Linked DNA regions of Canis lupus familiaris. The protein of the gene in region 2 purifies or fractionates together with the protein of the main gene of each other region. This does not show direct contact. Links are inferred from orthologs where the notes say so. Each region holds a gene or a part of one and is shown on either strand. Other genes may lie near its edges.

What was found.
Region 1: the proteins of SYTL4 (region 2) and RAB3A purify together in Homo sapiens (affinity purification with mass spectrometry; 3 studies listed by BioGRID and IntAct, counting the BioPlex papers as one, with this or other methods). This does not show direct contact. The link is inferred for Canis lupus familiaris from reciprocal best matches to the Homo sapiens genes SYTL4 and RAB3A.

The regions. Positions count from the first base shown.
Region 1 is NC_049241.1:45,202,536-45,218,864, reverse strand, and holds RAB3A (ras-related protein Rab-3A), read right to left. Parts: upstream 13,234-16,329; 5' UTR 13,060-13,233; intron 11,880-13,059; coding exon 11,652-11,879; intron 10,784-11,651; exon of another isoform or gene 10,300-10,783; coding exon 10,181-10,299; exon of another isoform or gene 10,157-10,180; coding exon of another isoform or gene 10,112-10,156; intron 9,580-10,111; coding exon 9,455-9,579; intron 8,603-9,454; coding exon 8,412-8,602; 3' UTR 7,741-8,411; downstream 1-7,740. Other genes in the region: MPV17L2 (mpv17-like protein 2), read left to right, coding at 4,732-4,918, 5,520-5,690, 6,567-6,643, 6,756-6,884, 6,958-7,074. UniProt on the Homo sapiens protein: The small GTPases Rab are key regulators of intracellular membrane trafficking, from the formation of transport vesicles to their fusion with membranes.
Region 2 is NC_049260.1:74,957,294-74,972,975, reverse strand, and holds part of SYTL4 (synaptotagmin-like protein 4), read left to right. Parts: intron 1-3,907; exon of another isoform or gene 3,908-4,010; intron 4,011-4,161; 5' UTR 4,162-4,232; coding exon 4,233-4,342; intron 4,343-4,598; coding exon 4,599-4,814; intron 4,815-4,948; coding exon 4,949-5,058; intron 5,059-5,292; coding exon 5,293-5,395; intron 5,396-14,471; coding exon 14,472-14,573; intron 14,574-15,035; coding exon 15,036-15,111; intron 15,112-15,682. UniProt on the Homo sapiens protein: Modulates exocytosis of dense-core granules and secretion of hormones in the pancreas and the pituitary. Interacts with vesicles containing negatively charged phospholipids in a Ca(2+)-independent manner.

The DNA.
Region 1 (16,329 bases), on a different chromosome or scaffold from region 2:
GTTTCCAGCTGAAACTAACACCAGCTAGGTTAACAGGAGAAAAGGATATGGATTTTCTTTACACACGCATGGGAGCCCTTGTAAGAAAAAGGAAGACCCAAGAAGTAATTAGACCTCAGTGTTTATTTATTAGACTCAACAGAGGGGGACAGTGATGGAAAAGCAGCCAAAGTATATGTAGAGACTACAGAAAGATAAATTATTTTAACAAGGTCTGTTCGTACGGATTCCCTCCACCCCAACTCCCTCTCTCTGGTGATCATGGTGTTTCTTCCTCCTGGTACAGGGAGGGCACCTTCAACTTGGGAATTTTATCTCCTGCTTTCAGGAAGAAAAAAAGAAGCTCAGTATGCCCTTTATGCATCTTGCTATCTTTCAAAAAATCAGTCTGCCAGAGTGGTACATTTTTCAGTGGCATATCCTGACTTCCTTCCACAGAAATACTGCATATCACAGATCCAGACGGCAAAAGCTCTTCTTCCGGATGGAAGCCAACAACTAGAAAGCTACAGATCAAAATCACCGAATGGTCAAACCATAAAGACAAATTCCCAATCTCTGACACCACTGATGCAGGTGACATTATCCATCACAAAGGCATCAAAGCCAAAGCACCAATGTATAAAGAGGAAAACAAAATGAAAAAACAGAGAACAAACAAAATGACCTTACTTACCCCTTTTGGTCACCAGAATGTCAACCTCCATGAAATGCACTTCTCTATTGAAAGTCTACTTGACTCTGTTCTGTGAGTGATGTGATGTTTTCCCCACCTTTCAGCCACTTTGGAGGTGGTTTTCCACCAAGATGCAGGGGAATCTAGTGACTGGAATACCAGGCTGAGGTACCTGACAGAAATGGAAGTGCGAAAGGATAATTTTCTAAAAAAAAAATTGTGACTCTCCTATAGATATAAAAATGAGCACGTGTTAAAAATTATTGTTATCTCATTATTAATAAGCAGAACCAGTCAGGTGTTAAAACCATTTCTAAAAAAAAGAAAAGAAAAACATTTCTAAGAAGATCCAGCCAGGCAGGACTCAAATCAGGGATAGTAAAATAAACATGCAAATTAATGGGAAAGGAAATTGGGGAGGAAGTGTCTCTCCACCCGGCAGGGTTTATTTGCATGTCTATAAGCAAAAATTATTCTTCACCATAATCATTTATAACTACAGAGTTTATAAAATAGCTCCCGTTAAATCAAAATCAGAAATCCCTGAAGGGTGTCCTCAAAGGCAGGGTAAAATAAATTGTAACCTTTTTAAAAAAAATTTTATTTGTGGGATGCCTGGGTAGCTCAGTGGTTAACGGTCTGCCTTCAGCTCAGGTCTGATCCTGGGCTCCTGGGATTGAGTCCAGAGTCCTGCATTGGGCTCCCCACAGGGAGCCTGCTTCTCCCTCTGCCTATGTCTGCTTCTCTCTCTGTGTCTCTCATGAGTAAATAAATAAACTTTATTTAAAAAATTTTAAAAAGACTTTATTCTGGGGAACCCTGGGTGGCTCAGCGGTTTAGCGCCACCTTCAGCCCAGGTTGTGATCCTGGAGACCTGGGATTGAGTCCCATGTCGGGCTCCCTGCATGGAGCCTGCTTCTCCCTCTGCCTGTATCTCTGCCTCTCTCTCTCATGCTCTGTGTCTCTCATGAATAAATAAATAAAATCTTTAAAAAAAGATATTATTCTTCGGATTTTAAAAAAATATTTTATTTATTTATTTGACACAAAGAGAGAGAGCCAGCACAAGGGGTGTGTGTGTGTGTGTGTGTGTGTGTGTGTGTGTGTGTAAGCAGGCCATAGGTATTGGGGGAAAGCAGGGAGTCATATGCAGGATTGGATTCCAGGACCCCAGGATCTTGACCTGAGTCGAAGGCAGATGCTTAACTGAGCCACTCAGGAGCCCCTAAAATTTTACTCTTAAGTAATCTCCACACCCAACATGGGGCTTGAACTCACAACCCCAAGGTCAAGAGCCACCTGCTCCACAGACTGAGCCAGCCAGTGCCCTGATAACTTTTTTTGTTGTACAGAGGCATATAGTAAATAGTTTTAACTGTTGCAGACCATACAGTCTTTGTTGCAAATATTCATTGTAGTGAGAGTACACACTACAGAAACAAATGGGTAAGGCTCTGTTCCAATATAGCTTTATTTATGGATTCAGAAATTTTATTTTCATATAATTTTCATGTCACAGAATAGTATTCTGATTTTACCCCCAACCTTTTGTCAACTGACAAAAGGATGTAAAGACTGAAAAGGAAAAAAATGTTTCATTTGGGGTCTCAGAATTACAATTTGGGAGCACAAATTCCAGAGTAACCAGAAAAGTGTCTCCCTTGTGTAGGGAAAATAAGGGGTTTTTATGAGAAAGAAGGAAGAGGTAATTACATGACTTAGATAAAGAAAAAAAAATAAAACCTGCTAATTTGGTACTAATGTAGGAAAGATATTAGGGTTTGAAGCTGATGGCCAAGAAAGAATTCTTGAGACGTTTTTGGTGCAAAAATGTGATTTTATTAAAGCATGGGGACAGAATCCATAGGGTGAAACAGCTACACTGGGGTAGTGAGGAGTGGCCAGTTATATACTTCCAAGTTGGGAGGGGGTTAAGGGCTAGCTTAAATCTCTAAAGAATTTGAAAGCAGGGTTTCCAGGACTTTGAGGGGGCTAGCTATTGTTAGGAAAAGGCCATTTATTACTGTCTAATTAAACTTTAGTCATAAATAAATAAATAAAATAAACCTTAGTCATGAGATCTTTCAGATGTATATGGGTGGATCACATGCTTGGGGAATGATCGCCAACATGTATCTGGAGGGGTAGAGATAATGGAAGTTCCTGAAGGAATTTTTATGTTAAAGTAGACTTACAGGATCCTGGGGGGAGGGAGGGCCGGGCTACAGTCGCCTTTCGCCCTCAGCAAAGTATTATCATCGAGGCAGCTGAGTTCCTAGAGGAATGTCACCCTGCCTGTTTCAAGGACTTGTCAGTGGGCTGTAGGTAGTAAGGAAATTAAATGTTTCTTTTGCCTCTGTTTCTCACATCATTGACTACTTGAGTCACTTCTGATTATTATTTTATTGGTGCTATCAAATGAAACGGTCTCCCTGATATTTTTTTTAAGATTTTATTTATTTATTCATGAGAGACACACAGAGAGAGAGAGAGAGAGGCAGAGACACAGGCAGAGGGAGAAGCAGGCTCCATGCAGGGAGCCCGATGCGGGACTGGATCCCTGGTCTCCAGGATCACGCCCGGGGTCGAAGGTGGCGCTAAACCGCTGAGCCACCCGGGCTGCCCTCCCTGGTATTTATTAACTTTACTTTCTCCATATGATCTGAATGCCAAGTGCTTTGTTGAAATTTTATGGAGCAACTGCTTGTAAAACGCTGGGTGCCTCTGGCCCCAGTTCAAGAGTTCATCCGTTGGAAAGGAAAACGGAGCTTCCACACGGATTCTCTCACGTCCAGAAACGTGATACTCCTTAACACATTTAAAGAAATATAAGAGGGGGTCCCTGGGTGGCTCAGCGGTTGAGCGTCTGCCTTCGGCCCAAGGTGTGATCCTGGAATCCCGGGATCGAGTCCCACATCGGGCTCCCTGCATGGAGCCTGCTCCTCCCTCTGCCTTTTTCTCTCTGTGTGTCTCTCACGAATAAATAAAATCATTAAAAAAAGAAAGAAAGAAATATAAGAAACACTTTCACCTCGTGAGCCTCGCAAAAACAAAACGGGGATTTTACGGGGATTTGGACCGCGGGCCGCAGTTTGCGACACCCGGCTCCTTTGTAAGTCACGTGTAAGCCACGCATACGTTTCCATGGAAACTCGTACACCCCCCCCCCAACACAGGAGGTAAAACAGATACAGTTGTTTGTAGAGCTGCTGTGAAAGAAGTTATAGCACGTAGTGTGCCCAGAACAGAACCTAACGTTTTGTGTGTGTGTGTTAAGAATTTATTTATTCATGAGAGACAGAGACATAGAGGGAGAAGCAGGCTCCATGCAGGGAGCCCGACGTGGGACTCGATCCCGGGTCTCCAGGATCACGTCCCGGGCTGAACGCGGCGACAAACCGCTGAGCCAGCCGGGCTGCCCAGAACCTAACGTTTTAACCATTATTATTCTGGATCGGAAGTCAGGTACCCAGCTAAAGTGAGGAGCAAGGTCGACGCCTCGGTCAGGATCCTACCGGGGCGCGCGGCCCGCCCCCAACTTCCGTGAGGCTTTGCGGGATCAGACTTCCGCTGCGGGAGCCGCGGGAGCCCCCGCTCGGCTCCCTCTGGAATTCCGGGAGAAGCTGAGCGTCTAGAGGGCACCTAGGCGAAGAAGCGTGATTGGCCAGCTCCACACGGGAGGCGGGACAGCCGGCGTAAGGCTAGGCTGCGATTGGCCAGTAGAGTGTGGCGACGGCTGTCCATAGGCCAGCGCAGAAAGGGGCGGGGAAACGATGGTGGCGAGGCAGCGATAGATCTGCGGGGGCGGGGAGACGCCTGTTTGCGATTGGCCCGTAAGGTGCGGAAGGCAGGGCTTGGCTTCATTCCGCGATTGGCCCGGGATGGGATGCCGGTCTTTTACTGGTTAATACATCTCCAGCCGGCAAAGGGGGACGCCGAGCGGTCCGCGATTGACTGGTGAGGACTGGGGCCGGCGTGCCGATCACGAGGACCGCGAGCGATTGGCCCGCCCGGGAAGGGCGACCCTGGTGCCGGGGCCCGAGTTGCGGCGGGCTATGGCTTCCGGCGGCTGGCGCTGGCTGCGCGGCCTCCGGGCCGTGGGGCAGCCCCTGTTCCAAGGCCGTGCGCTGCTCGTCACCAACACGCTGGGCTGTGGTACTCTCATGGCGGCGGGGGACGGCGTGCGCCAATCCTGGGAGCTCCGCGCCCGGCCTGGCCAGAAGTTCGATCCCCGGCGCTCAGGTGAGGAGCCCTGGATTCCGGGGGACCTATGACCCCAGCTTCAGTTCCCGGCAGGACCCCTGACCTTGCGTGCATCCAAGACCCCCCAGAGCCCATGCTTAGGCCTCCGTCCCTTCTCTCCATCCCGGGGTCTCCGCCCTCGCCCCACCCGAGGTCTCGGTTGCCTCCTCCTTCCTGGTCCCTGTCTCCTCCGGACCCACTCCCACCCACCCGTCTCGTCCCCGCCCACGCCCTCGTCCGCTCCCCTCCCGCGTGCACGGAGCCCAAGCCCTGGGCACGGGAAGCCGCACCAAGGACATCAAGAGCTCAGCGTCTGGACCCAGCCACCCTGGGACTGCGCACTGGCCCCACATTTCCCAACCTGCTGTACCTGTTTCCTCCTCCAGAAAGCAGGGCAATGGTAGAACCCGCTCACAGGGTGGTGAAGGGGATGAGGACAGAGCACGAGAGAGGACCAGTGCCTGGCAATGGGGCTTGTGACGGAAGAACATACAGGCGGGCTGTGGGGCGGCTTCAAGTTCACCAGGGAGGGAAGTTAACCAGGGAAGGAATGGGTTGGGGGGAGTTGCTGGCCTCCCCCTGACTCTTGAACTGCTTTCAGCAAGCATGTTTGCAGTGGGCTGCAGCATGGGTCCCTTCCTGCACTATTGGTACCTCTGGCTGGACCACCTGCTCCCAGCATCTGGCCTCTCTGGCCTCCGGAACGTCCTCAGGAAGGTCCTCATCGACCAGCTCGTGGCCTCTCCCTTGCTAGGCATCTGGTATTTCTTGGGTAAGGAGCCTTGTGAGCTTGGGCTTTGCCTCTCCATACGTCAGGAGGGGCAGAGCCAGCTTTGTTTTAAGGAGGCTGAGATGCATTTCTGATGTGCCTCCTCTGTGTGGCTCTGGACTGGGTGCTAGGTCACAGTGGTGACAGGACAGACCCACTGGGGACAGGCATGAACAGCAGAATCAGACAATGGTGCTTTAGTGTAGGAGGGATGAAGCAGTACAGGTGGGGCTGTGGGCAGTGGTTGGGAGGGCTGCCCAGAGGAGAGGACACTCAGCTGAGACTTGAAGGAGCCAGCAGGCATGAAAAACTGCCTATGCAAAGGCCCTGTGGCTGAAGGAAGAATTGCTGAGGTTGGGGGTGACAGGGTGCAGTCATCCAGCCCTTGGCTCTGGGAAGACTGTCGCCCCCGCCCCAGGCTCAGTTTCCTCCTTTGTGAAAGACAGGGAATAAAACAGCCTCAGGAAGGGTGCATCTTCATCCTTTGGGGTGTCTGTTTTTAGAGAGAGGGAAGAGGGAGAGAAAATCCTAGGAAGGCTCCACAACCAGCGAGGAGCCCAATTCAGGCTCAATCCCAGGACCCTGAGATCATGACCTGAGCTGAAACCAAGAGTCACTTAACACTTAACCTGCTAAACCACCCAGGTGCCCCTAAGGGGATGTGTGATTACTTAGGACCTCTCCCTCACTGGAACCAACTTGTTCTGCCTTGTTTCTCCACACCAGCCACTCTGCTGTGTGTGGCCCTTCCCACCGCAAGGCTTTTAAACATCTTGGGCTATCTGCCTGGGACCCTGACCCTCAGGGTTCCTGCCCTATCTGCTCCGTCACCAGTACTCCCCAGCCTCTGATACTCTAATTTCTTTGTCTCCTTCCCAGGCATTGGCTGCCTGGAGGGCCAAACCCTGGATGAGAGCTGCCAGGAGCTGCGAGACAAGTTCTGGGAATTCTATAAGGTGGGCCGCCCACCCCCTGACTCCCTGCCCCTGACTCCCTGCCCCTGCCTCTCACAGCTGCTCCCCTCCCACAAGGGCTCCTCCCCTCACCACACTCCACCCCTCCCCGCAGGCCGACTGGTGCGTTTGGCCAGCTGCGCAGCTGGTGAACTTTCTCTTCGTGCCCACCCAATTCCGAGTCACCTACATCAACGGCCTAACCCTGGGCTGGGACACGTACCTCTCCTACCTGAAGTACCGGGTGAGCACGGTGGGCGGACCAGGCACCCAGGGGACTCCTCAGGGGCCACATGTGTAAACCCCAAATGGTACAGCTCCACTCTAGGGTGAGGTCCTCCTGGGCCTATGACAATCTGCAGACCACAGCAGGTGGGTGGGGAGCTGGTCATCGGCAGCGTGAAGACCCAGCCCCTGTCTGCTGTTTGATGTGACATCGGCCAGGTCCCTGCTGCATCTGTCCCCCAAGACTGAGTTCAACCACCAGACAGGTGGGTGAGGACCTGCCTGGTGAAGAGTTCAGAGGGGTGAATGGGGTGTGTGACCAGACCCCTCTTGCACGGACAGATCCTGGGCCCATCCACCCCTAAGCTGTGTGGCCCTGGGCACCAGGCAGACGGAGCTGCCCCAGCCCTCCTGAGTGGATGCCAGACAGGGCAAGACTGACTCTCAGCAGGCCAGGCCTGGTCCTGGCCCCTCCCCAAACCCTAGGCATCTGGCTGGGCTGCCCCTTCCAAGCCCAGTACAAGACCTGTTTCCTCATCTGGAACACAGCCATAAAGATGGTCATCCAGGAGCCCCGTCACAGCAGGCCTCCATGAACCAGTGACAGATGGCCCCATCTGCAGCACCCAGCCCGAGCCACCCAGTCCCAATCCCCCAACCCCTCAACACCACTGTGGGCTGGGCCCTGGGCCCAAGGTCAGGGACACACTCCATTTCCTTGAAGTAGGGCCCAGCCTGGAGAATCTGGAGGCTTAGGCAGGGCCAGGTGGCCTCCAGTCTCATATTCAGGTTGCAGGTTGTGGAAATTCTATTAAATTCTCTTGACATTGAATATCCTGTGGATGACCAAGGCCACCGCTAGCAGGCTGGCACTCAGGGACACAGCGTCATCCATTCGCTTTATTGGGTGTGTGTAGTGTTGTCATGACATCTCCTGGGGATCTGGGGGGCATGTTTGACACTCATGACGTCAGAACAGGCCTGGTGTTGGGGGTGTCCCAGGGTGGCGAGTACCCACAGCAGCCCTCACCTCCAAAAAAGGGTAAAACTTTGGGGGTGAGGAGCCAGGCAGGCCATTACCTGGCTCTGATCTACCCCAGGGTCCATGCTGAGACACCCCCCACCCCCACCCCCCAGTGGCCTTGGCCCACCACGGCCCAGCCAAGAGGCTGGCAGACCCGACTACCTCCCACCACCCAACAGCCTGCCCTGGGGTGTCATCGGGCCCCCTCTTCAAAACCGGTAACTGTTGATGGGGGTGACTTTTAAAAAAGGTGGGGTCTTGAGAGGAGGGTGAGCAGTGAGTTCACAGGGCCACGACACGCCACAGCAGAGTGGGGACAGGGCCGTATGTACAGGGTGGGACACGGGGTAGTTGGGGAGCCCGAGCCCCTGGGGGACATCTCCAATAAATAAATAAATAACTACGATAATAAATAAGGGTGAGGGGCTAAGTTGGGGCAGGGGTCTCACGCCCTGGGCCAGTGGGGACTGGATCAGGCCCAGGGGGTGGGCAGGGGTGGGCAGGGGTGGGGCAGGGCAGCTCTCAGCAGGCGCAGTCCTGGTGTGGAGGCGCCTGCTGGTCCGTGAGCTGTGGGCCCTGCTTGGCACCCGTGACTGCAGGGTCAGCCGTGTCCAATGACTCGGACATCTTCTCACAGATGACATCCACCAGGCGCTCAAAGGTCTGCTTGACATTAATGTTGTCCTTGGCGCTTGCCTCAAAGAACTCAAAGCCTGTGGTTGGGGAAGGAAGGGATGAGGACTCTGGTTCCCCCTCCACCCTCCTGGGGATGCTTCTCTGAGGGCAGAGAACATCTGGAGATTCCCAGTGCCAACCACGTTAACGGCACCAGAGTCCTGCAGGGAGGCGACACTGGACTAGGTCAGCCCTAGGTTGCTTGTACTCCTTCCTTCCCCCTAAAACTGTCCCCATCTCGTCTCCAGGCCCCCAGCAAGACCTCTTTCCCCACTCCCAACATCCAGCCTAACCCGCGCACTGGCCCTGGCAGTATCTGGCACATCCCCCTGTGCCCTCCCTTGCTTACACACCCTCTGGCTCCCTGTTGCCCTTGCAGGAATCCCAGATCGTCGGCATGTGGTTCAGGGTGTGCATTTCCCCCAGGTAAACCCCACATTCCAGCCATATAAAATTAATTATTTGCCAGAACACTCAGGATCTTACCTACCTCTGTCCTTTGCCTGAAGTTTGGTCTGACCACCCGTTGCTTCAGCACCAGATCCAGTGCCGTCCTCCAGGTCTTACCTACACCAGGCAGAGCTTGCCCCCCTTACACTCCCCCAGCCCAGATCTCCCCCTCTACCCCACAAAATGAGGCTTCTTGGGCTCAGCAACCCAACATGAGGCTAGCAGTGAAGATATCTGAACAAATCAGTAACTGCACCACGAACTCCTAGGCATCTGTCAAGATCTGGCTCAAGGCCATTTGCAAACAGTGTGAATTGTCTGGATTCAAATCTAGACACTGTCCTGGTTTTGCTGTGAGATCTTGGGTGTGTCCCCTCCCCTTTCAGGGCCCCAGTGTCCCTTTCTTAGGCTGCAAGTGTGCAGCCCCACTGGGCACTCACCAAGGTGGTCAGCCAACTGCCGGCCACGTTCCGACGACACCACCCGTTCATCCTCCATGTCACACTTGTTGCCCACCAGCAGCACCTGGGCATTGTCCCATGAGTAGGTCTTGATCTGGGTTGACCTGGAGGAGGCAGTGACAGGGGTGGGGTGGGGTGGGCTAGGGCTGGCAGCAACCTAGCTCCACCATCCTCTAATCTCCCCCTTGCTCACCACACTCTAGCCCCCCACCTGCAGATTATTGCTTGGATTTGGCCAGCTCGGTCCCTCCTTCCGCCCTTTGTCTTGCCAGGAACACAGACCCATGGCTCCCTGATCTTGGAAATCCCTTTCCTGTAGAATTTCCCACCCTTCCCGGATCCCTGTCCCCCGGAGGCAAGAATTTCTCCATCCTCTGCCAATTCAGAAATGTCCTTAAAGTTTATCACTACCTTGGGCAGAAATGTGTTCATATAGATCCTTCATCCTGTGCAAACCATCCTTATATTTTCTGACCCCTCCCTTATTTTTTTTTTGCCTATAAATTGACAATTTCATTTTTCCACCTGAGATGAAACCCTCTTTCCCCCTGGTTGAGCCAGTGCCACCACGTTTCAGTTATTACAGACCCGAGAGCAGGTCTGAGAGTCCGATATTGTGATTTACATTTCTGCCAGGGGAGCTGGGGCTTTGCATCAAAGCCAGCTCTGAAGATGGTCTGAGAGCCGAAGGGAAGGTGTGCTCACCAGTCCTGCACAGCGTTGAAGGATTCTTCATTGGTAATGTCATACATGAGGATAAAGCCCATGGCACCCCGGTAGTAGGCTGTGGTGATGGTCCGGTACCGCTCTTGCCCTGCTGTGTCCTGGGGAAGAAAAGACAGGGGTCAGGGGTCAGCCACCATTGGGTGGCTCAGTGGTTAAGCGTCTGCCTTTGGCTCAGGGCTTGATCCTATGGTCCAGGATCAAGTCCTGCATTGGGCTCCTTGTGGGAGCCTGTTTCTCCCTCTGCTGTCTCTGCCCCACCTCCCCATAAATAAATAAAATCTTTTTAAAAAATTTAAAAAGACAAGAGTCAGGCCCTGTACATAAGCTCCTCAGTGGAAATGAGCTCCAAGATTGTCCAGTCCAGCCTGCTTGAGGACCAGAAGGAACAGGGGGCTTGCCCAAAGGCAAAATGGGCCAGGGGAGCAAGCTGCCCACCTACACAGAGAACATTGTGCTCAATTGTCCTCCAGAGGCGGGTACCTAGAGAATCATTTCCTCACTCATTCAACGTACCTGGGCATTGACCTGTGTGTGCCACACCCTGGGCTGAGCACCAGGGACACAGATGTTAACAAAATGGACAAAAATCACTGCCTACTGATTACCCAATTCTATAGGAAACAGACAATAAACACAAAAAGGAAGAAAACGTATCCTATGTTGGAGGTGATGAAGACTGAGAGGGAAGATAAAGTCTGACAAAGATGGAAGGGCAATGTGGGTGAGGGTATGGTTTTGAGAGCTGGATGAGGTGAGGAGGGAACCATACGGGGACTGGGGGGAAGGACAATCTGGGCAAAGGACAGAGCCTGGAGCAGGGGCCCTGAAGTGGGTCTCTGTATCAGTGTGCCTGATACATCAGAGGAACAGTGAGGCAGCGGAGGTGGGAGACAAAGCAGGCGAGGTCTCCCGGGCCAGGTGGCCCATGGGAATGCAATGAACAGAGAAGGGACAGCTCTGGCTTGGGATTAAACAGGTTCCTTTGGGCCCCTGTGGGGCTAAGGGAGGTGGCCAGTAGACCCTGAGGAAGGGAGGAAGGTTGCCTGTTCCTGTCCCAGGGAATGAGGCTGGGGAGGGGGGGGCCAAGATCCGGCTGAAACATCATACAGACTCACATGAAAGAACTGAAAGATAGGGAAACTGAGGCACCAATCCCAGTGATGCTCTCAGTAATACACAGAGGAGAGGACCCAGCATTTGCTCCTTCCCCACTTCCAGAGAGAAGTGATGAGGCACCCATGGAAGGACCCAGCATTTGCTCCTTCCCCACTCCCAGAGAGCAGTGATGAGGCACCCATGGGAGGACTCTGGGCCTCTAGCTCCTAATACACAGTAGGCACCTGATAAACACCCAGTGTGTGAGTGAATCCAAACAGGAAATAGGCAAAGCTGGGGCTGCTTTTCTGGGAAGGCAAAGTGATAGGGACGGAAGCTCCCCAGCTGGACCCACCCAGATCTGCAGCTTGATCCTCTTGTCGTTGCGGTAGATGGTCTTGACCTTGAAGTCGATGCCCACAGTGCTGACAAAAGCAGGCGTGAAGGAATCGTCTGCATAGCGGAATAGGAAAGAGGTCTTGCCCACGCTGCTGTTGCCAATGATGAGGATCTTGAACATGTAGTCGAAGTTCTGGTCCGAGGACTCCTTCTGCCCATAGCGCGAGTCTGTGGCGGACGCCATCTGGGTGTGCAGGGTGTAGGTGAGCCTGAAGAGTCCCCTTTCGCACCCAGCTGCCCAGGCTCCAGGCAGAGGATACAGAGAATTCCAGAGCTCTTGAGAAGGACTAGTGTTTATAGATTACTCTTATCTCATCAGGAGCCCCTGTACTAACGGTAGGGCCCACGGCAAAGGGCGGGCTGTGACCTTGAAAGGCCAAAAGTGTCAAGGGAGCAGCTCAGAAAGATGGACATGGGGACACCCCTTGGGCCCCCTCCAACATGCCTTCGCCCTAGGTCGGGCTGTAATCCTAAACCCTAAGCTGAGCGGGCAGGGCTGACTGCAGCCGGCCCCGCCCCCCATCAATCATTCATGTGTCTCAGAAGGGTGCCGCGCGGGCGCACGTGCACACGCGTGTACGACCCCGCGGGGATGTGCGTCGCAGCACCCCCTTCCCCCAGGCTCCCAAGCTAGGAGGGATCGGGCTGAGACAGCTGGTCATGTGATAAGGGCGGGGCGTGCACCTGCTCACGTGCACGCAGCAGGGAACACACCCGTACACGCGTGTGCACACGAGAGTCGAATACATTCGGTGCACAGGAAACGAGACGTAGACACTTGTCCGCACACCAACACACATTTACACACATGCCAACCCACCCGTGCGCAGGGTGCCCTCCACCCATGCAGGCGTGTACACGTCACCCACGCGGACACGCAGTCCCGTGCACGTATGCACACGACGTGCAGGCACACGCACAGTCCATGCGTCTCCTTTCACATGCGTGCAGCACGCACTCACCGGGGCCGGGACACCCGCAGGGTCACCCGAGCATACCCCGGTACATAAGCAAAAGGGTTTGCACACAGACCCGCTGGCACCGGCGGGCGCGCACACGCGTGTTCACACCGCACGCACGCACGCGCACGCACGCACAGAGCCTCCCGCGCGCACAGCTTCCCGCAAGGCACTCGCCTCCCCTCCCCCTCCGCCGCAGAGGCCGGGGGTGGGGGGTGGGGGTGAGGGTGAGGACCCGGCAGGTAGGGGGAGCCAGGGCCCTACCCCGACAAGGGCTGTGACCGCCGCATCCTTCCCCCCCATTCAGCGCGGCCAATCTCTCCCCTACCCCGGCAATCCCATCAGTCAAATGAAGGTTATGTAGGTATCCGGAGAGGCGGCGAACCAGGCCGCCCGGGAACTCACCTTGCCCTGCACCGATGCGGTGGTGACCCTAGCGGCGGCGACTCTTCGGCGGCGGTGGTGACGGGGCCCCCTGCGTTGATGTGGGGCTGCGCGACAGGGGCAGCGGCGGCAGCAGCAGCGGCTCAGGCCCCTGCAGTCCGCGGTGACGTCCTGCAAAGAGTGAGGCGGGGCCTCACATGCAGATGCAGCCGTGACGCCATCCTGGGGCGGAGCCGCGCCTGGAGCAACAGCCCACTGACGCACGCAGAGCCAGGAGGGGCGGGGCCCCCGCGCAGATTGACGCACGAGTGGGGCGGGAATCAGTGTGCTCACCCAGTAGCACGCGGGGGAGGTGCCTACTTGCTCCGCCTCCTGCCTGCGTCAAGGAGGCGGGACTGAATGGCGCCCTCTCACTGGCTTAGGGCCCCCGAGCGACGGACTGATCAGCCAATCAGAGCCTATCACTGTTCTCCTCCTGTCCAATGGTGGCTCCCAGGTGGTTGCAGGGCTGGGAGGTTGAGGCCTTCGCAGAGCCTGGGTCTTCAGGGGGCGTTCCCCTTCCTCGCCCCCTCCCACCTTTAGTCTGAGATTTTCGCGGCCCCCGCCGGGTCTTGGGTGTCGCGACCTCTGGTTAAAAACACTATTCCCAATTTTAGAAGAGGAACAGACATCTGAGAGACGCTCAGTGCCCCCCAATCACGGGTTCAAAATAAGTACAAATGAAGAAAAAGCCAAAATAGGGGTGAAGGGAGACCCCTCCCAATTTCTGGAAAGTGTAAGATCCCCAAAGAGGACCGGGTGGGTAGATGCCCGGTCCTGTTTGCTGAGATGAAAAAGAAGAAAGAGGATCTAGGGATCGAGGGAACTATTTTCTAGAAAAGAAGGAAGGGGCTGACACAAGAACCCCTCCTCTACCTGCGCCCCCCCCCCTTTCCGGAGAAAAATTCGAAAATAATGCTGAAGTGGGGCAGAGAAATGGCTTCCCCCCCTAAGTCCCCCCACAAACCTGCAGGAAACAACAACAACGGGGAACAGGGAGGGTCTCAGCGAGGTTCAAAGACCCAACAAGACGTCTCTCCAAGACGGGGCTGGGAGATGCTTTACCGACCCTGGTTCCTGACTGAGGCAGGGGACCGATCCCCTCCATCCTGGGGAAACAAGACTCTGCGAGTGCAGACTTTGGGGGCTGCGGTGCTCAGTCGTTTACTCTCCCAAATCTTGAGGGAGAAATGTCAGAATTGGGGGGTCGTGCGGGAGAATGAGCCCCTATGCCCCATTGGGATCCCTGCCCCTCAACTCCGCTCCCCAGACCCGGCAGGAGGAGCGTGGCCCCAAGAGAATTCTGATCTTGCTCCCTCCCCAGGCGCGGGGCGGCGGGGGTGGGGGGCGGAGGGGTGCGTCCTGTTTATAAAAAGCTCGCCAGCTGCGGAGGCGCCTAGAGACCAGAATAACTTAGCGCCTGGAGCCCGCCCCCCGCCCCCCCCCCCCCCCCCCCCGCCCCCTGGAAGAGCCGGACGTCCCTTGCGTTGAGAAATCTATTTTTTATTAAGGGTAGGATTTTTGTTCCTCTCCTCCACTCGGACTATAAGAGTATTATGAACCTACTGCGGAGAATTGGAAAATTGAGAAAAACATAAAAAAATAAATAAATAAAAATAAATTCATCTCCAACCTCCCCCCTGCAGGGAGGCTGGCAGTCGGTGGGGGCCCCCAGCACGGCTGGCCCGGAACCGGCCCACACACACCCTGGTGGAGGTGAGGACCTGTAAGGCTTCCCAAAAGCATGCTTTGGGCTTTGGACGTGCATGGCACTGAGAAATACCTGTTGTCATTTTTTGTTTTGTTTTTCCAAAGGAGGGAAGCCCCCCCCCCCCAACAATGTGCATCAGCTACTGCACAGAGGAATTTGTATTTCAAAGTAAAAATAGGGAGGCCTGGGTGGCTCAGTGTTGAGCATCACTTTGGCTCAAGGCGTGATGCCGGGGTCCTGGATGGAGTCCCCAGTCAGCTCCTTGGAGGGTGCTTCTCCCTCTGCCTATGTCTCTGCCTCTCTTTCTGTGTCTCTCATAGATAAATAAATAAAATCTTTTTTAAAAATAAATAAAATAAAGCAAAAATAATGCAAGGCCTTTATTGTTGAGAATCAATATTCTGGGACCCCTGGGTGGCTCAGCCGTTTATTGCCTGCCTTCGGCCCAGGGTGTCATCCTGGAGTCCCTGGATGAGTCCAGCATGGAGGGACATCCACATCCTGCATGGAGCCTGGATCTCTCTTTGCCTCTGTCTCTGCCTCTCTCTCTCTCTCTCTCTCTCTCTTTCTGTGTCTTTCGTGAATAAATAAATAAAATATTTTTTAAAAGAGAGAGAGAGAGAGAGAGAGAGAGAATCAGCATTCCACTCTGGAATTAGGGGTCGTTGAATGGGGAACTGCTGCACAGCCTGGGACACCAGAGCTAGTGAGAAAGAGGCCTTAAACCCTTCCAAGTCCCACCCCACTCAGAGTCAAGTCCAGACTCCACCTCACAGCCCAGGCCCTCTAGCCACCCACCACCCACCAGCTACTTCCTCATCTCATCTTTCTCCTCAGGTCAGGTGGTCAGGTGCTCCCTCTGGCTCCAGGTGCAATCCTGCCTCAAGGCCTTTGTGCCCACTGTTCCCTCTGCCTGGAGTACTGTTCCCCAACTTCCTTCTAAGCCTGGCTCTCTCATTCTCTTCAGATCTCTGATGGGCACCCGCCTCCTTTCAGAGGTTCCAATTTCATGTCACCTCCTTATCACATCACCATATTTCTCCCTCCTGCCACATCTGCTATCAGAAATAATTATTTGAGGGTTGCCTGAGTGGCTGAGTTAGTTAAGCATCTGACTCTTGATCTCAGCTTAGGTCTTGATCTCAGGGTCGTGAGTTTAAGCCTTGCATTGGGCTCTATGCTTAGAGACACAGATTAGTGTCCCCAGCACCTAGACCTGTGAACACAGTAAGTGCCCTGTGATGGGATGACATGTATGAATGAATGATTGAAGAGAGGGTGACTTTGGCCAGAGAGGTTAGGGAAGACTTCCCTGAAAAGAAGTGGCATTTGAGCAGGAACCTGAAGGAGAAAGAGCTGGCCAGATGGAGAGGTGAGGGAACAATGTTCCAGAAAGGGGGGACAATGAGTGCAAAGGCCCTGAGGCTGGAACTCACTAAACAAGCTCAAAGGACAGCCTCTTTCCAGCTCTGTGAAGGAGATGGGCCCGACAACTTTTGTTTCCTTAACAGAAAGGGCAGAATGAGGCCCTGAGTGTCACC
Region 2 (15,682 bases):
GCTTTCCTTTTTGTCCTTGCTTCAAAAATTTTTTTTCTTATCCTGTTTTCTTCTCCCCACTACTGATTATGCAAGATTGTATCTCAAGCTAACTGACTGGTGACAGGGTTAGGGTTTGAAACTACCCATGGTCAGAGGTGGGGTTGGGGTGAGATGGCTTTTCTGAAAGGAGTTATATTGGCAAGTTATGGGGGAGAGGAGGCAGGTGGCTGAGGATGTCATAGGTGGTGGATTCTAAATCCTTTTTCTTTACAAATGTGAAACAAGGATGTCTGATAGGAACTGGAGGAAAGGGAAGTGGGAGTATGAGATGAGACTAATGAAGGCTTAAAAATAGAACCTGAAGCAAAACTAGGTAAAGCAAAACTAGGTGAAAACCTGAACTAAGAACTGAGGTTGGAGACCAAGAATTGTGTAGGTCTTGGGTATAGGTTCAAACATTGAGTCATTTGGAGTCCAGTTTGGGTTGGAAAGGAAAACAGATCAGCAGGAGGCAAGGAGACCAAGAGAAAATGAAAGATGGACTTAAGAGACTGTGGTCTTTTTTAAAGATTTTATTTATTTATTCATGAGAGATACACAGAGAGAGGCAGAGACACAGGCAGAGGGAGAAGCAGGCTCCCTGCGGGGAGCCCGATGTGGGACTCGATCCTGGGACTCTGGGATCATGCCTTGAGCTGAAGGCAGATGCTCAACCACTGAGCCACCCAGGCGTCCCACGAGAGAGACTGTGGTCTTGAAGTGGTTGAAGAACAGGTCTAGTGGGAATGAGCTATGGTCAGAAAAATGGGGATTACTGAATTTAAGATTTTAGGAGGAGGCAGTTCTGGTTGATCTGGTCCATAAGTGAAAAACAAAGAGAAGATATACAACATTAGCAGTTCCATTTTCTTATGGTGCTGTATTTATTTCCTCAATGATGTTCTTACATCTGTCGGTCTTAATATTACTTGGTCTCATTATTGTGTCAGTGTGCCTGTTTTATCACTTATCATTCCCAGTGTACCTGTGCCAGCCATCCTTGGTCTTTAGCTGCTAGGCAATTGGTAGATACCTATTTTATTCACGAGCAGCTGATATTTTAGCCAGTGCTCCATTCATAATCACATAGAGGAGAATCCATTTGCACAATGCTTTTGATTGCTCTGATAAACATTTTACAATAGTTTTGGCCATGATCCTGCCTGGACAGAGCCTGTAGAGTGCTAGCTCTAGAATCAGATTGCCTGGGCTTGAATCCCAGCAACTTTACTTACTTTGTTTACTACTGGGCAAGTTAACCTAACCTTTCCTGGATCCTCATCTATAAAATAGGGATAATAATACTGCTGCGTTCTTAGGGTTGTGGTGAGGATTAAATTAATATATATAAAGTACTGCATTGCCTGCCATTATTGTCAATTCTCAATAAATGGAACTGATGGGGTGATGATCAGCAGTAGTGGCAGCAGGTGCAACACCTTTTTCACAATATCATGTTAGGTGCTGGGACAGATACAAAGAAGAATATTGAAAAAGCCCTTGTTCTCAGAGAGTGTAATATTCTCCTTGGTTTGAAAACTAAGAATTCTTTTTCAAGATTATCTAAGAAAGGGTCCATGAAGGAAACTTAGTGTCTTACAGTTCAATAAAGACCAGGAAATAGCCAAGTCAAGAAACTGTTGATGGAACCTTATAACTATGCTGAGTTGTTTATAGTCTTTATTGTCCTGTAGGTAATTGGAAAAAAAAAGTGGAAAAGGGCTCATGGTTTAGTTTTAAGGGAGAGCAGAAAAGGTAAAGATGATCATCATTTCCTTTCAGCTTTGTCTACCCTGAGCACTTTGACTGCCATGACTACCAAATCTGTACTTTCAGATACAGTCACTCTTCCTGAGGACCAGCCCTGTGCCTCCAACTACTTTCTGAGCCTAATTACCTGGATATCCTGTATGTAGCACAAACTCAATATGACTAAAATGAAACTTCTTGCTTTACTTCCATACCTGTTTCTTCTCTTATAACTCTTCTCACTGTTAGAATTATCACTAATCTATCAGTTGTTAAACCAAGACAGGTAAGGTAAGGCATCTTTGTGCCTTCTTCATCCTCTTAGTCACTCCATTCTGTTACTTCTGCTTCTCAAACTTGATTCTCTGCTCTTTGTCTTGCTGCCCTGGGTTACGCCTGCCCTGTAGCAGATTCAGCAAGTATGTGTATTGTTAAACATGGATTTCAAACATTGTGATTGGCCCTGTAACATACAGTATTTCACTTTCTTGATAACTTTGTGAAATATATCATTTTGCACATGAGAAACTAAAGGGTGACAAATAAAATGATTTGCCAAGTTGGGTAGAGGTGCACTTGGTAAACCTAGATTTTCTTTTGTCTGGACTATTACAATAATCCCCTGTCTCCTCTGAAATTTCTTTTTTAGGACTTAAAAGTAAGACTTCTTTACGTAAAAAAATCATAACTATATACAGTAAAAAAAGTGAAAGTTGCCCCTCCCAATCCTCCACAAGAGAAACCAATGATCGTGGTTTTTGTTCCAGACTTTTTTCTCTGCATATACAAATGTATAGGTAAATACTTTACCAAACAAATCATTCAGTATAGTCTGGCAACTACTTATTTTTTCTACTCCAAGATGCATTTTCAAACAGATCTACCACATTTCTTAATGGTTGCATGGTATGCCATTATATGGAAGTATTTTTTTTAAAGAACTTCTTTGTTTTGTTCTTACAAAGTTACAGTAACATTCTTGTATATATATTGTTCTATGCACATTTGTATGAATATTTCTATAGGTAGATTCTTAGAAGTGGTATTGCTTGGGTAAGGAATGCACATATTTTACAGTGTGTTATGTACTTCCAGATTGCACTTCAGTTTGTCTTTTGAATCAGTTCTTTTGTACTAAAGCTAGAGTAAAATGGATTTAATCATTTAATTTCCCAACATCAAAAACAAAGCAACAACAAACATGTTTGATGGACTTCTATTGTCTATGTAATAAATGCAAAAATTCTTAATTTTCAAGAATGCAAGTTATAGGGGTGGCTGGTGGCTCAGTCAGTTAAGCCTCTGCCTTTGGCTCAGAGTCCTGGGATCATGCCCTACATTGAGGCTCCCTGCTTAGCAGGGAGTCTGCTTCTCCCCTCTCCCTCTCCCTCTGTGTCTTTTCCTGCCTCTCTCCCTGCTCATTCTTTCTCTCTCTCTCAAATAAGTAAATAAATAAAACTTTTAAAAAAGAATGAGAGTTATAAAATTTAGCCCAAACCTATCTTTCCTACCATTTCCTCCCACCAACAAAAATATGCTGCTTTATAAGGAAAAATTCACCTCTTCTGTGAAACCTTCCATGTATACAGGTCATTCTCTTCTCTCTCTATGCAAGATAGAATTAGTTGCTTCCTTCTTTAGGTTCCCATAGCATTTAATTTATTATCCATCTGATAGCGCTTAGTGCATTGTACTATATTTATGCGTATCTGTGTCCCCTACTAGTCTGTGAACTTAAGGACAGGAATTGTGTCTTAGTCATCACTGTATCCCTAGCACTTTGCACAATGCACGTCAGAGTGAGTGCTTAACAAATGCGCATGAAATGGGTGAAGATATTCTTCAGGTAGTGGTAGCAATAAGAACTTTGGGAGATAGAGTAGGTGATGGAACTTTTAGAGTATAGCATAAAGCTATCTGAGTCCTGAGAACACAGAAGCTGGTCAGGAAAGGAAAAATGGGCTTCAACTGGCAGAAGTCCCCATGTGGTTTTCTTCTCTACTACAGAGACCAGCTGTCTGATTATTTGGTTTAATAGATTTGGGACTTGGGAAAATGTAAAGTATTGAAAATTGGATGATCTAGGATTCACTTGCTGTAGGGAGAGTTCAACTCAACTGTTCTGTGCTTATTCCAGACTAATGTGCTCATGCTGAAAGACTCAGCCTTTTTCCAGAGTCATGAATAAGTTATCCTTCTTGAAAATCCAGAGCTGCCTCACTTTCAAGGGCAGGATTCAGGTGGGAGTAGGAATGGTAAATAGGTCAGATATTTCTACATTGTCTTTTTGTCCTGGCTTAAGGGGAAAGTAGCCTACTAAGAGGTTCTAGGGCTGTGGGACTACTCTGGAGTAAATTATCTGTGTGAAAAATAGTCCTTATCTTATTTCAGGCAACTGTGGTGGCTTTCCTGGTCTGATTGATTTGAAGAAAGAAGAGTAGAATAAAAATATAGAATAAATCATGTCAGAGATACTTGACCTCTCTTTTCTGTCTGAGATGGAGAGGGATTTGATCCTCAGTGTTCTACAACGAGATGAGGAGCTCCGGAAAGCAGATGAGAAAAGGATTAGGTAAGCATTCCAGAAAAAGCATGGGTGCCCAGACCTTTGACCAATTTTATCTGGACCTTTCCTTATACCTCCCATGTGACTTTCAGAAGAACTTATGTATCAGTATACAATTCCTCCCTTGGGCTCTGAAGTTGTTACTTCTGTAGAACCAAATTTTAATTACCAAACCAAAGTCTTACTGTCTACCCCTCAACAACTCTCCATGCAACCTATGCAGACTGTGAACGCACTTGTGCTTCTCTTTGGGGATTGGCAGGCGACTGAAGAATGAGCTACTGGAGATCAAAAGGAAAGGGGCCAAGAGGGGCAGCCAATACTATAGCGATCGGACCTGTGCCCGGTGCCAGGAGAGCCTGGGCCGTTTGACTCCCAAGACCAACACTTGTCGGGGTTGTAATCACCTGGTGTGTCGGGACTGCCGCATCCAGGAAAGCAGTGGTACCTGGAGGTGTAAGGTGTGCACCAAGGAGATGTGAGTATCACCTGTGGAGAGAGGCAAGGAGGCCCTGGCTGTGGGGAGAATTTCCCTCCTCGGCCTTTGTTAGTTGAGTGGCAAGAGCCATTTTAAAAAAAATTCACTTGTCACTTTCCTTTATTCCTTCTCAGAGAGCTGAAGAAGGCAACTGGAGATTGGTTTTATGATCAGAAAGTGAATCGCTTTGCTTACCACACAGGCAGTGAGATAATTAGGATGTCCCTGCGCCGCAAACCTGCAGGTACTGGCCCTGTCTGGAAATGGTTTTGTTTTGTTTTGTTTTTGAGGTACTTGACGTCAGTGAAAGATCCCTTGGCTTGGAATCCTATTATATATTCTTACTAGTGGTGTCTTTACTTCATGGGCTCTGTGGGGAATATAAAGATTATATTGCCATCCCTTCTGCAAGTGGGATGTGTTTCCGTCCCCCTCCTCTCATTACCACCACTCTGCCATGCTTTTGTTTACCTCGAAGTGAATAAAAGAGAGACAGTGGGACAGTCCCTTCTTCATCAGTCACAGATGGATGATATCTGGCCAGGAAGAAGGATCGTTCAGGAGCAACAGAAGGAGCCCAGGTAAGAACTAGCAATCATTTACAGAGATGCTACACATCCTTTGAATTCTATTATTTTAAACTTTGTTCTATTTATCAAAGAAGAGCTGTTTATGACAGGAAAATTTGGAAAGTATAGAAAAGAATAAAGAAAGAGGGGAAAAATCTATTGCTACCACTCACATGTTAACATTAACATTTTGGAATATTTACTCTCTTCTTTTTAAGACCAATTTAAAGATGAATAAAAATAACACATACTCATGATTAAAAATTTAACCTGTACAGGAAACAATAAAGAAAGCAACGAATCACCCAAATTCCTAATACCCACAGTACTCATATGTGAAAATTATTTAAGGTATCACTTGTCTATATATGTAGGTAGAAGGATGGGTGGGTGGATAGACTGAAAAACCTGTATAATATTGGATCATAATATATACATTAAAAGCATGCTATTTAATTTTACTTGACTTTAACAGAATAAAACAGAAGAAATAAAATTGAAGAATTGCTCATCTTCAGATAAATGTTTCTTTACCATAAAAGATACTAATCTTTAACATCCCTCTAAGTTTAAGAAAAAAAATCATAAAATCTATTGAGTAGTCATTTTTTTCCTAGTGTCTTTTAGGTAACAGTTTTATTGAGATAGAATTCACATACCATACAATTCACCCATTTATAATGTATAATGCAGTGGTTTTTAGTGTTCACAGAATTGTGCAACCATCGCCTTAACTGATTTTAGAACTTTTCATCACCTTAATAAGAAACTCTATACTCTTTTAGCTAAAACTCCCAACTTCCTTATCCTTTCCCACCCCTAAGCAATCACTGGTCTACTTTCTCTATATATATATTTGCCTATTCTGGACATCTCATTTAAATGGAATAAAAGAATATGTGATCCTTTGTGACTGTCTTTTCTCACTTAATGTAATGTATTCAAGATTCATCCATGTTATAGCATGTATCAGGACCTAATTTCTATTTATTGCCAAACAATATTTGATTATATATTCGAATGTTCTATTGTATGTATATACCGCATTTAATTTATACGTTCATCTGTTGATGGACATTTGGATTGTTTTTACTATTTGGTTATTATAAGTAATGCAGCTATGAACTTTCATTATGAGTTTTTGTATGGACATACATTTTCATTCCTTTTAGGTAGATACCTAAGAGTGGAGTGCTGGGTCAGTCACTTAGTCATTTTAAAAAAATCTACCTGTTTCAATATTATCACTGTACTCTCTGCTATGAAAGAGAAGGAAATTAGGGGCACCTGGGTGGCTCAGTCGGTTAAGTGGCTGCCTTCGGCCCAGATCATGATCTCAGGGTCCTGGGATCAAGCCCCCATTGGGCCTCCTGCTCAGCAGGGAGTCTGCTTCTCCTCTCTCTCTGCCTCCTCTCCCCTGCTCGTGCTTATGCTCTCTCTCTCTCAAATAAATAAATAAAATTTTAAAAAGAGATTAGCTTTCTTATACTTTCTCCAAATACTTTACCCTACTCTCATTTTTTATACTCAAATTACTTTTACTTTGACAGCACTTCTAACATTTACATTCTGTTCTGCAACCATAAACCATCTGCCTGTTTTATCTGTTTAGTTTTTGTTCATATTTAACAGGAGTATACTTTTTTAAAAAAATTTTTATTGGTGTTCAATTTACTAACATACAGAATAACCCCCAGTGCCCGTCACCCATTCACTCCCACCCCCCGCCCTCCTCCCCTTCTACCACCCCTAGTTCGTTTCCCAGAGTTAGCAGTCTTTACATTCTGTCTCCCTTTCTGATATTTCCCACACATTTCTTCTCCCTTCCCTTATATTCCCTTTCACTATTATTTATATTCCCCAAATGAATGAGAACATATAATGTTTGTCCTTCTCCAACTGACTTACTTCACTCAGCATAATACCCTCCAGTTCCATCCACGTTGAAGCAAATGGTTAGTACTTGGATGGGAGGAGTATACTTATAACCTTGTACCATGGCTTCTCTGTATTTCTGAATTTTTCCTTTCATTTTTTTTTTTTGGTTGTTTGGATTTTATCACTGAGAAGTTCCTTCAAGAAGGGCTTGCAGAAGCAATATTTATTTTACTCTTTCATGTTAAGAATGCCTACCTACTGACTTAATACTTGAATGGTATCTTGGCTGGATATTGTATTCTTGAGTCACACTTTTTTTCCCTTATAATTTGTAGACATTATTCCATTGTCTTCTACTATTGAGTGTGACTGTGATAAAGTCTGAGGTCAGCAAGCCTTCTGTTTTTCTCCCTTGTAGGTAACTTACTGTGTGTATGTGTGTATGTACACACATGTCTCAATGGTGATCATTCTGTATCCTCCTAATATGTACCCTTGATGAGTTCTTTGTTCATTGCTGGAATATTTTTCTTTTTTTTAAGGTTTTGTTTATTCATGAGAGACACAGAGAGAGGCAGAAATATAGATAGAGGGAGAATCAGGCTTTCTGCAGGGAGCCCGTTATGGGACTTGATCCCGGGATCACACCCTGAGCTGATGGCAGATAGATGCTCAACCTTGCGCTGGGCCCCTTGGCTTCTGCTGGTTGGCATTCATCCATACACCAGCCAGCCTTCTCTGTTTCTGCTACTGCTAGAAATGTCCCTGTTACTGTTCAGACATTCTCTAGTACATTCTCAAACCTTCCTTAATTGTCATCTGAGAGTGGCCACCTCCTATGCATACAAATCAATCATTATAATTTTCCCCAAGAAATTCTGGAAAGAGGAAGTGGTGGTTGGGCTGGATGAGAATATTTCTGCTCTAATCACCAAGCCTCTCTTATTGATGATGTAAGGACAATTTCTACCAGCTTTGGGGGAGGGAATAAGAAGAAAAAAAGGGATACTTTGCTCTCCCCTTGACAGAGGTAATTGCCTTACCTGCTACACAATGTTTTTCACTCTCGACCTCTTACACTCTCATTCCTGAGAAACCCCTGAGTTGCTCTCTTTTCTGGCCTCATATTGTTTTTCAATAGGTTAAGGTTACAACTATTAATAAGCTAGGGCTTTTGCTCCGAGGCTGTCAAACTAGCCCTTTTCAAGTCTGTAAAACTTGTGTAGCAATTAAGAGATATGAAATCTCATATATTCATGTAAGTAGCTCTTCCTTTCATGTTTTTGCCTGGCTATAACTGGAGATGCTTTTAAACTACAAGCTTTTTTTATTAAGTAGAAAATATGCTTATTGAGAGGAAGGGCAAGATGCTCCTAGTGACCTGTCTAAAGAATCCCTTTTACCAAAGACAGCTTCTATCAAATGAGAGCAAGAATTTTACTGATTCTGAACAATGTAGGGGCAGGACCATAAAATCAGGACATTTTTTAAAATTGCCTTTTTCTTTTGTTTAAGGATCTTATTTATTTATTCATGAGAGACACACACAGAGAGAGAGGCAGAGACATAGGCAGATGGAGAAGCAGGCTCCCTGCAGGAGCCTGAGGTGGGACTCGATCCCAGGATTCCAGGATCATGACTTGAGCCAAAGGCAGACGCTCAACCACTGAACCACCCAGGTGCCCCTGGAAAATTTTTCTATGTCATATCCTCTGAGATTTTTTTCTGTTTTATTAGTTAAGTTTCCCACCCTAGGCACGTTGGATTTCTTATTTATTTATCCTCCTTTTCTTTTAGTATCAAATGCAAGAGAAAAGAAAGGTAAAAGCAATTAACTGTGATTAACCCAAACTTTTCCTCTATGCTTTGATTTTCAGCCATTTTCTTTCCTCCCCTTTTCCCCTTTCCTCTTGCTATATCTAATGTACTTTTAGAATGAATTATCTTGGGATACCTGGGTGGCTCAGTCGGTTAAATGTCAGACTCTCGATTTCAGCTCAGATCATGATCTCAGGCTCATGATCTCAGGGTCCTGAGGTCAAGCCCTGCATTGGGCTCTGTGCTCAGTGCTCTTCCCCCTCTGCTCTTCCCTACCTCATGTGCCTCTCTCTCTCTCTCTCTCTCTCTCTCTCTTTCTCTCTGTCTCTCTTTTTTTCTCTCTATCTCTCAAATAAATACCTAAAAAAGTGAATTATCTTGATTAGGTTTTAATTTATTCTTTGTTCTCAATCTTCCTTTTACCCCAATTTTGTTGTTTTTCCATCTTTCCTGTTTGCACTCTTATGCTTTATCAAATATATATTCTTATTGAGTTTCTATATAGTATAAAGCACTCACAAGCAATCTATTTTCTGAGGGTTATACTCTTCTCCAGAATAGTTCTTTGACCATCTTGCAAGTTGTTTCTATTTCTCCACCCCATGGCAATTTATAGATTTATCTGCCAGACCATTTCTTCTCATTTTACTCATGTTGAAGCTAGGAAGTTCTTCTGCCTATATCTTTTATTTGCTCTGATATAGTGTGTGAATTCTCCTTGACACCTCCTTCTCACCTCAACCTGAAACAATTTATCTCTTCCATACCCCCAACTGTACTTCAAGCATAAAATATTGCTTTCTATATACTTCTTTTATTGGAACCTAAGGGGAAAGCAAAAGGCAACTTGGGGGTCTTGGGGTTTGGCCTGCTGAAATTCTCTTAAATGTCCAGGCTCACATGGTCCAGCTTTGGATACATCATCTAACTCCTAGCAGTGCACTGAGAGATGACATACCCCAGCAGTCTTGTCTGCATCTGTTGATACCTGGGACTACAAATCTTGAGAACTTTTGTTTTCCTTGTCTTATTCCAGGACTGCCTACTCACTCACTTCATCTGTACATCTCTGTATTGGATGGAATTTTGCTGAGCTAAATCATTCTTCTGTCTTCTTAGCCATGACTTTTTGAACTTTATGACAGGAGCCTTTACTCCTTATTTGGTAGCTGCTGGTGGTTTTTTTTTTTTTTTTTTTGGCTTTTTACTTGTGTTTTTCCCCTAAATTTCCCTGAGCCAAAGGGAAATGACTTAATCACGTTTTGTATGATTGTTGAAAAGCACTATTAGAAATATGTAAAATGAGTCCCCAGTAACCTCACTGCTTCTGCCCCAGACTATTATTGTTAATGGGCATTACTAGTTTTGGTGATGGACTACCAGACTATCTAAATGTACAAATACGGATTGGATTCTTACATTTTTAATTTCTTTTAAAAAAAACTGTCATACTACATACATAGTAAATGGTAAAAACTGAAAGAGAGAGAATTTTAAAAACTCAATAGTATAGATAATCCAGTAGAAACTTGGCAAAATATTTGAACAGACACTTTGCCAAAGGCAAGATATAGGTATTGAATAAGCACATAAAAAGATGCTCTCAACACCTTTAGTTATTAGGGAAATATGAAAAAAATCATAATAAAATGCTACTGTATAACCATTAGAATGGCTAAAATTTAAGAACTAACCATACCAATTATTGGTGAGGATGTAGAGCAACTGGAATTCTCCTACACTGATGGTGGGAATGTGCAGCAGTGCAGCCTCTTTGAAAACCAGTCTAATAGGAGTTTAGTTAAATATCCTTTACCTTGTGTTTCACCCATTCCATTCCTCAGTATTTACTCAAGAGAAGCAAAAGCATGTGTCCGTGCAAAGACTTGTACATGGATGTTCATAGCAGCTTTGTTTGCAATAGCCAAAACCTGGAAACAGCTCAAATGTCTATAAACAGGTAAAGGGATAAATTGTGGTTTGTTTATACAGTGGAATACTACTCAGTGATGGAAAGGAATGAATTATTGATACGAGCAATAATATGGGTGAATCTCAAAATAATCATGCTGAGTGAAAGAAGCCAAACAAAAGAGAGGGCATACTGTATGATTCTGTTTATATAAAGTTCTAGAAAATGCAAACCAAAGAGTAGTGGCAGATGCAGATCAGCACTTTCTGTCTGGGAACAGAGGTAAGCAGGGATGAATGGATTATGAAGGAGTGAGTGGAAGCTGTTGAGAGTGATAGGAGTATTCACTAACTTAATTGCGGTGATGGTTTCACAAGTGTATGTACATGTTAAAATTCATCAAATCACACACTTAACCATGTGTTACTTATGTCAGTTATAACTCAAGGTGTAAAAGGAACAATTGTAGAAAAATAAAACATCGGCACCTCTCCATGTCTGCACTAAGGGTCTATCATTCTTTTTGCCATATGTATGGTGTTTCATGGTATGTATGTACTATGATTTAATCCACACAGCATTGGGTGGGTGACTCATCTGTTCTAGGCGATGAGGCCCCCTTTTTCCTTGGTGGATAAGGATAAAAACAACTTTTATTTTCTGAATCTGATTAACACATCTGACATCATCGGTCAGAATGTAATTTCTGAGACCTACTGCTTCTGGCTGTCTATGACCTCTTTTCTCATTGGATCCAGAAGACTTATTTATCCTAAACATGGAAGCAGATTAAGTGGCCATAAATTATCTTTGCCATAAAATTATGGAGTCTCAGAGGTAATCAAATTCATTCCTCTTATTTTTACAGAAAAGAAAGCAAGATAATTTACCTGAGATCATACAGATAGTTAGAGCCCAGGATTCTCATCTCTTAGTCTATTTTTTACTGCACAGATGCCAATAATTGCCTTTTTGCCCTAGGGTTATTTGTATCAGCTTTGGATTAGTACGTATTAATCATTAGGAAAAAATACAAGCAGAAAACACACTCCGTGGGTTATTGTTAAACTACTTCTCTAGAGGAATGGTTCTGCTTTGGATTCTTTATTCTTTGGAGCAAAGGGAGAAAAAGAATGATTCTAAAGTAAAAATGAAATCAACTTACCTGCTGCGCTTTGAACTATAGAGCTATCTCTCAGGAAATGACCACTGTTTCACCTCTTGCATGCCCTAGGATTTCAACCCCTGCTGCCTTTTTTCATAAAACTATTGCAAACATGATGTCATAACTTGGAATGTTTATTCTTTACTGCCTAAGACATTATAGATTCTGGTTACTTTGTTCTTTTTTTTTTCCTGGTTACTTTGTTCTTTGTTCATATGTTAATTGACATATTTTAAAACAAATGTCTACAAATGCCTACTATTTGCCAGGCACTGTTTTAGGCCTTGGGATACACTGGTAAATACAATAAAGTTCCTTGCCTGTGGAGCTTAGATTTGGGGACAGGGAGACACAGACAATAATCAAGTAAACATATCAAATCAGATGTTGACAAGTGCTATAGAGAAGACAAAGCTGTCTAAAGGGATAGGAAGTGGCAGGAAGACATGTGTGTACACATGCTGTTTTACTTAGGATTGCCAGGGAAAAGTCTCAATGATACAGTGATATCTGAGCAAAGACATGAAGCAGACAGGGGAGCAAACTTTTGAGAGGATCTGGGGGAAAAGCATAATGGGCAAAGAAAGCGGAAGATGAGTTTGTATTTGGTGCATTTGAGTAATCTGGAACTGAGCGAGCAAGGGGGGAGTGGTAGGAGATGAAGACAGAGAAGGGATGAGAAGGAGATCACAAAAGACTTTGTTGGCGCTTGTAAGGAATCTCACTCCAAGTGACATGATGTTTTTTCTATTTTGAAATTGAGGTGAAACTCACATGACATACAATTAATTGTTTTAACAATTTTAAGGTATGACATTCGGAGGCTTTTAGCACTTTGAGAATGTTCTGTAACCATCGATTGCCACTGTCTAACATCAGAATATTTTCATGACTTCAAAAAGAAACCCCACACCCATTCAGCATTCTCTCTCTGTTTCCTCTAGTCCCTAATGTGCCTCCTGTCTCTGTAGATTTGCCTGCTCTGGATACTTCACATAAGTGGAATCATATAAAATATGTCTTGCTTCTTTCATTTAGCATAATGTTTTCAAGGTTCACCCATGTTGTAGTATGTATCAGAACTGTATTTTTTGACAGTAATATTTCATTGTATGGATATACTACATTTTGTTTATCCATTCATCCATTGGTGGACAGACTATTTCCACCTGTTGGCTATTGTGAATAATGCTGGTATGAACATTCATGTACAAGTTTTTGTGTGGACACAGGTTTTCAGTTCTCTTGGGTATATATCTAAAAGTGGAATTGCTGGGTCATTTGGTAATTCTATATTGGATTTATATTTTAAAAGCTCATTTTGACTGTCTATTGAGGTTAGATTGTGTAGGGAATAGGGTAGAAGTAGGGAGTTCATTCAGGAGGCTATTGTGACCATAATGTTACCAGTAGCTAGGTGATGGTGGTTTGGACCAAAGCAACGTCAGTTGAGGGGGTGAGAACCAGTCAGTTTCTAGATATAATTGAAGACAGAGCCAAGAGTATTTGATAACAGATTTGGTTTCTATTGTGAGAGAATAAGGGGAGTCAAGGGAAACTGTTAAGATTTTTGACCAGAGAAATGAAAGGAGGAAGTAGCTATTTGATGAAATTGAGGGAAAAGCAGATTTGGGGGAGGATTAGGGCTTTAGTTTTGCCCTTGCTGTGTTTGAGACATCCAAGCAGAAATGTCAAGTAGGCTGTTGGAAATACAAGCCTGGCATTCGAGTGAGAGATAAATTTAGGAGTTATTGGTTTATAGAGGATATTTAAAGCCATGAGACAAGATGAGATCATTTAGGAATAATTCTAGATAGTGAAGAGAAGCAGTCTAAGGAACACGCCTGGACACAATCCAAAGATTAGAGCTTTAGGAGATGAAAGACCAGCAGAAGACCCTGAGAAGGGGACCCCAGTGAGGTCAGAGGACCAGGAGAGAGTCGTCCTGGCAGCCAAGTGAAATTAATTGAGATCCTTTTTTTTTAAAAAAAAGATTTTATTTATTTATTCATGAGAAATACACACACACACACACACACACACACACACAGCAGAGGCAGAGACATAGGCAGAGGGAGAAGCAGGCTCCTTGCAGGGACTCGATCCAAGAACCCTGGGATCATGACCTAAGCTGAAGGCAGACGCTCAACCACTGAGACATCCAGGCGTCCCAGCCGAGCAGTTTTAAAAGTATACTCAGATATTTATCGTAGAAAGACCACTCAGGCTCCCATTGTGAATGGGTTGGGAGGAAGCCTGATTCCCAGCAGGAAAGCCTACTTCCTTTACATATTGGCCTTTGGTTTTTATTCTAGTGTGCCATTTGATGTGCCTAAGCTGAAAAGTGGAAAGAGTGCACTGGAGGCCGAGAGTGAGAGTCTGGACAGCTATACAGCTGACTCGGATAGCCTGTCCAGGTGAAATCCCTGCGAGTGCCTGCACCTCCGACTACATTTTGTTGTCAAGTCCAAGATGCAGGGCTCCTATACCTTCAGTGTGTCTTCCTTCTGTCCTCAGCAAGTCAAATGAAGTATTTTCTCTGACCTTGCCACAAGTTTGTCAGTAGTACATCTGCTGTTGGCTCCGAGCACAGCCTTCTGGAGCGTGCTAACTTCCATGGGCTGCTGTATCTTAGAGGAGTCTCCCTGGACCAGTAGCAACTGCCCCTGCTGTCCCTTAGGAGTGGGGGAGTAAGTGTGTTTGTGCAAAGTTGCTTATATGATTGTCTACATTCCTTCAAAGGTAAATCAGATGTGACGTTTACTTTCTGGATTTGGTTACTGCAGTGACCCCAAGCCAGTGGATCTCATTCCATAGAGCTTCCATAGATGGGGAAGTTGAGCAGGTGATTTTGTTATAACTTCTATATCTACCCCCAGGAGAGACTCTCTGGATAAATCTGGGCTCTTTCCAGAATGGAAGAAGATGTCTGCCCCCACATCTCAACTGGAAAAGGTAAGCTTTAGTTATTGGTCAGTTGGGATCTCTCTCTCTCTCTCTCTCTCTCTCTCTCTCTCTCATTTTTCTTCTCTTCTCTCTCTTTCTTCCTTCTCAGGAACAGTTTACATTGAGAATTCATCTAAATAGGGTATCTGGGTGGCTCAGTCAGTTAATCATCTGCCTTGAGCTCAGGTTGTGATCCCAGGGTCCTGGGATCGAGTCCCACATCGGGCTCCCTGCTCAGCGGGGAGCCTGCTTCTCCCTCTCCCTCTGCCACTCACTCCCCTGCTTGTGCTCCCTTGCACTCTATCTCTGTCAAGTAAATAAATAAAATCTTTAAAAAAATATTTCCTTTTTTATTTCCTTATTTATTCATGAGAGACACAGAGAGAGAAAGGCAGAGACACAACACAGGCAGAAGGAGAAGCAGGCCCCATGCAGGGAGCCCGACATGGGACTCGATCCCAGGTCTCCAGGATCATACCCTGGGCTGAAGGCGGTGCTAAACCACTGAGCCACCCGGGCTGCCCATAAATAAATAAAATCTTAAAAAAAAAGAATTCAACTAAACAAATTTCAGTGCAGA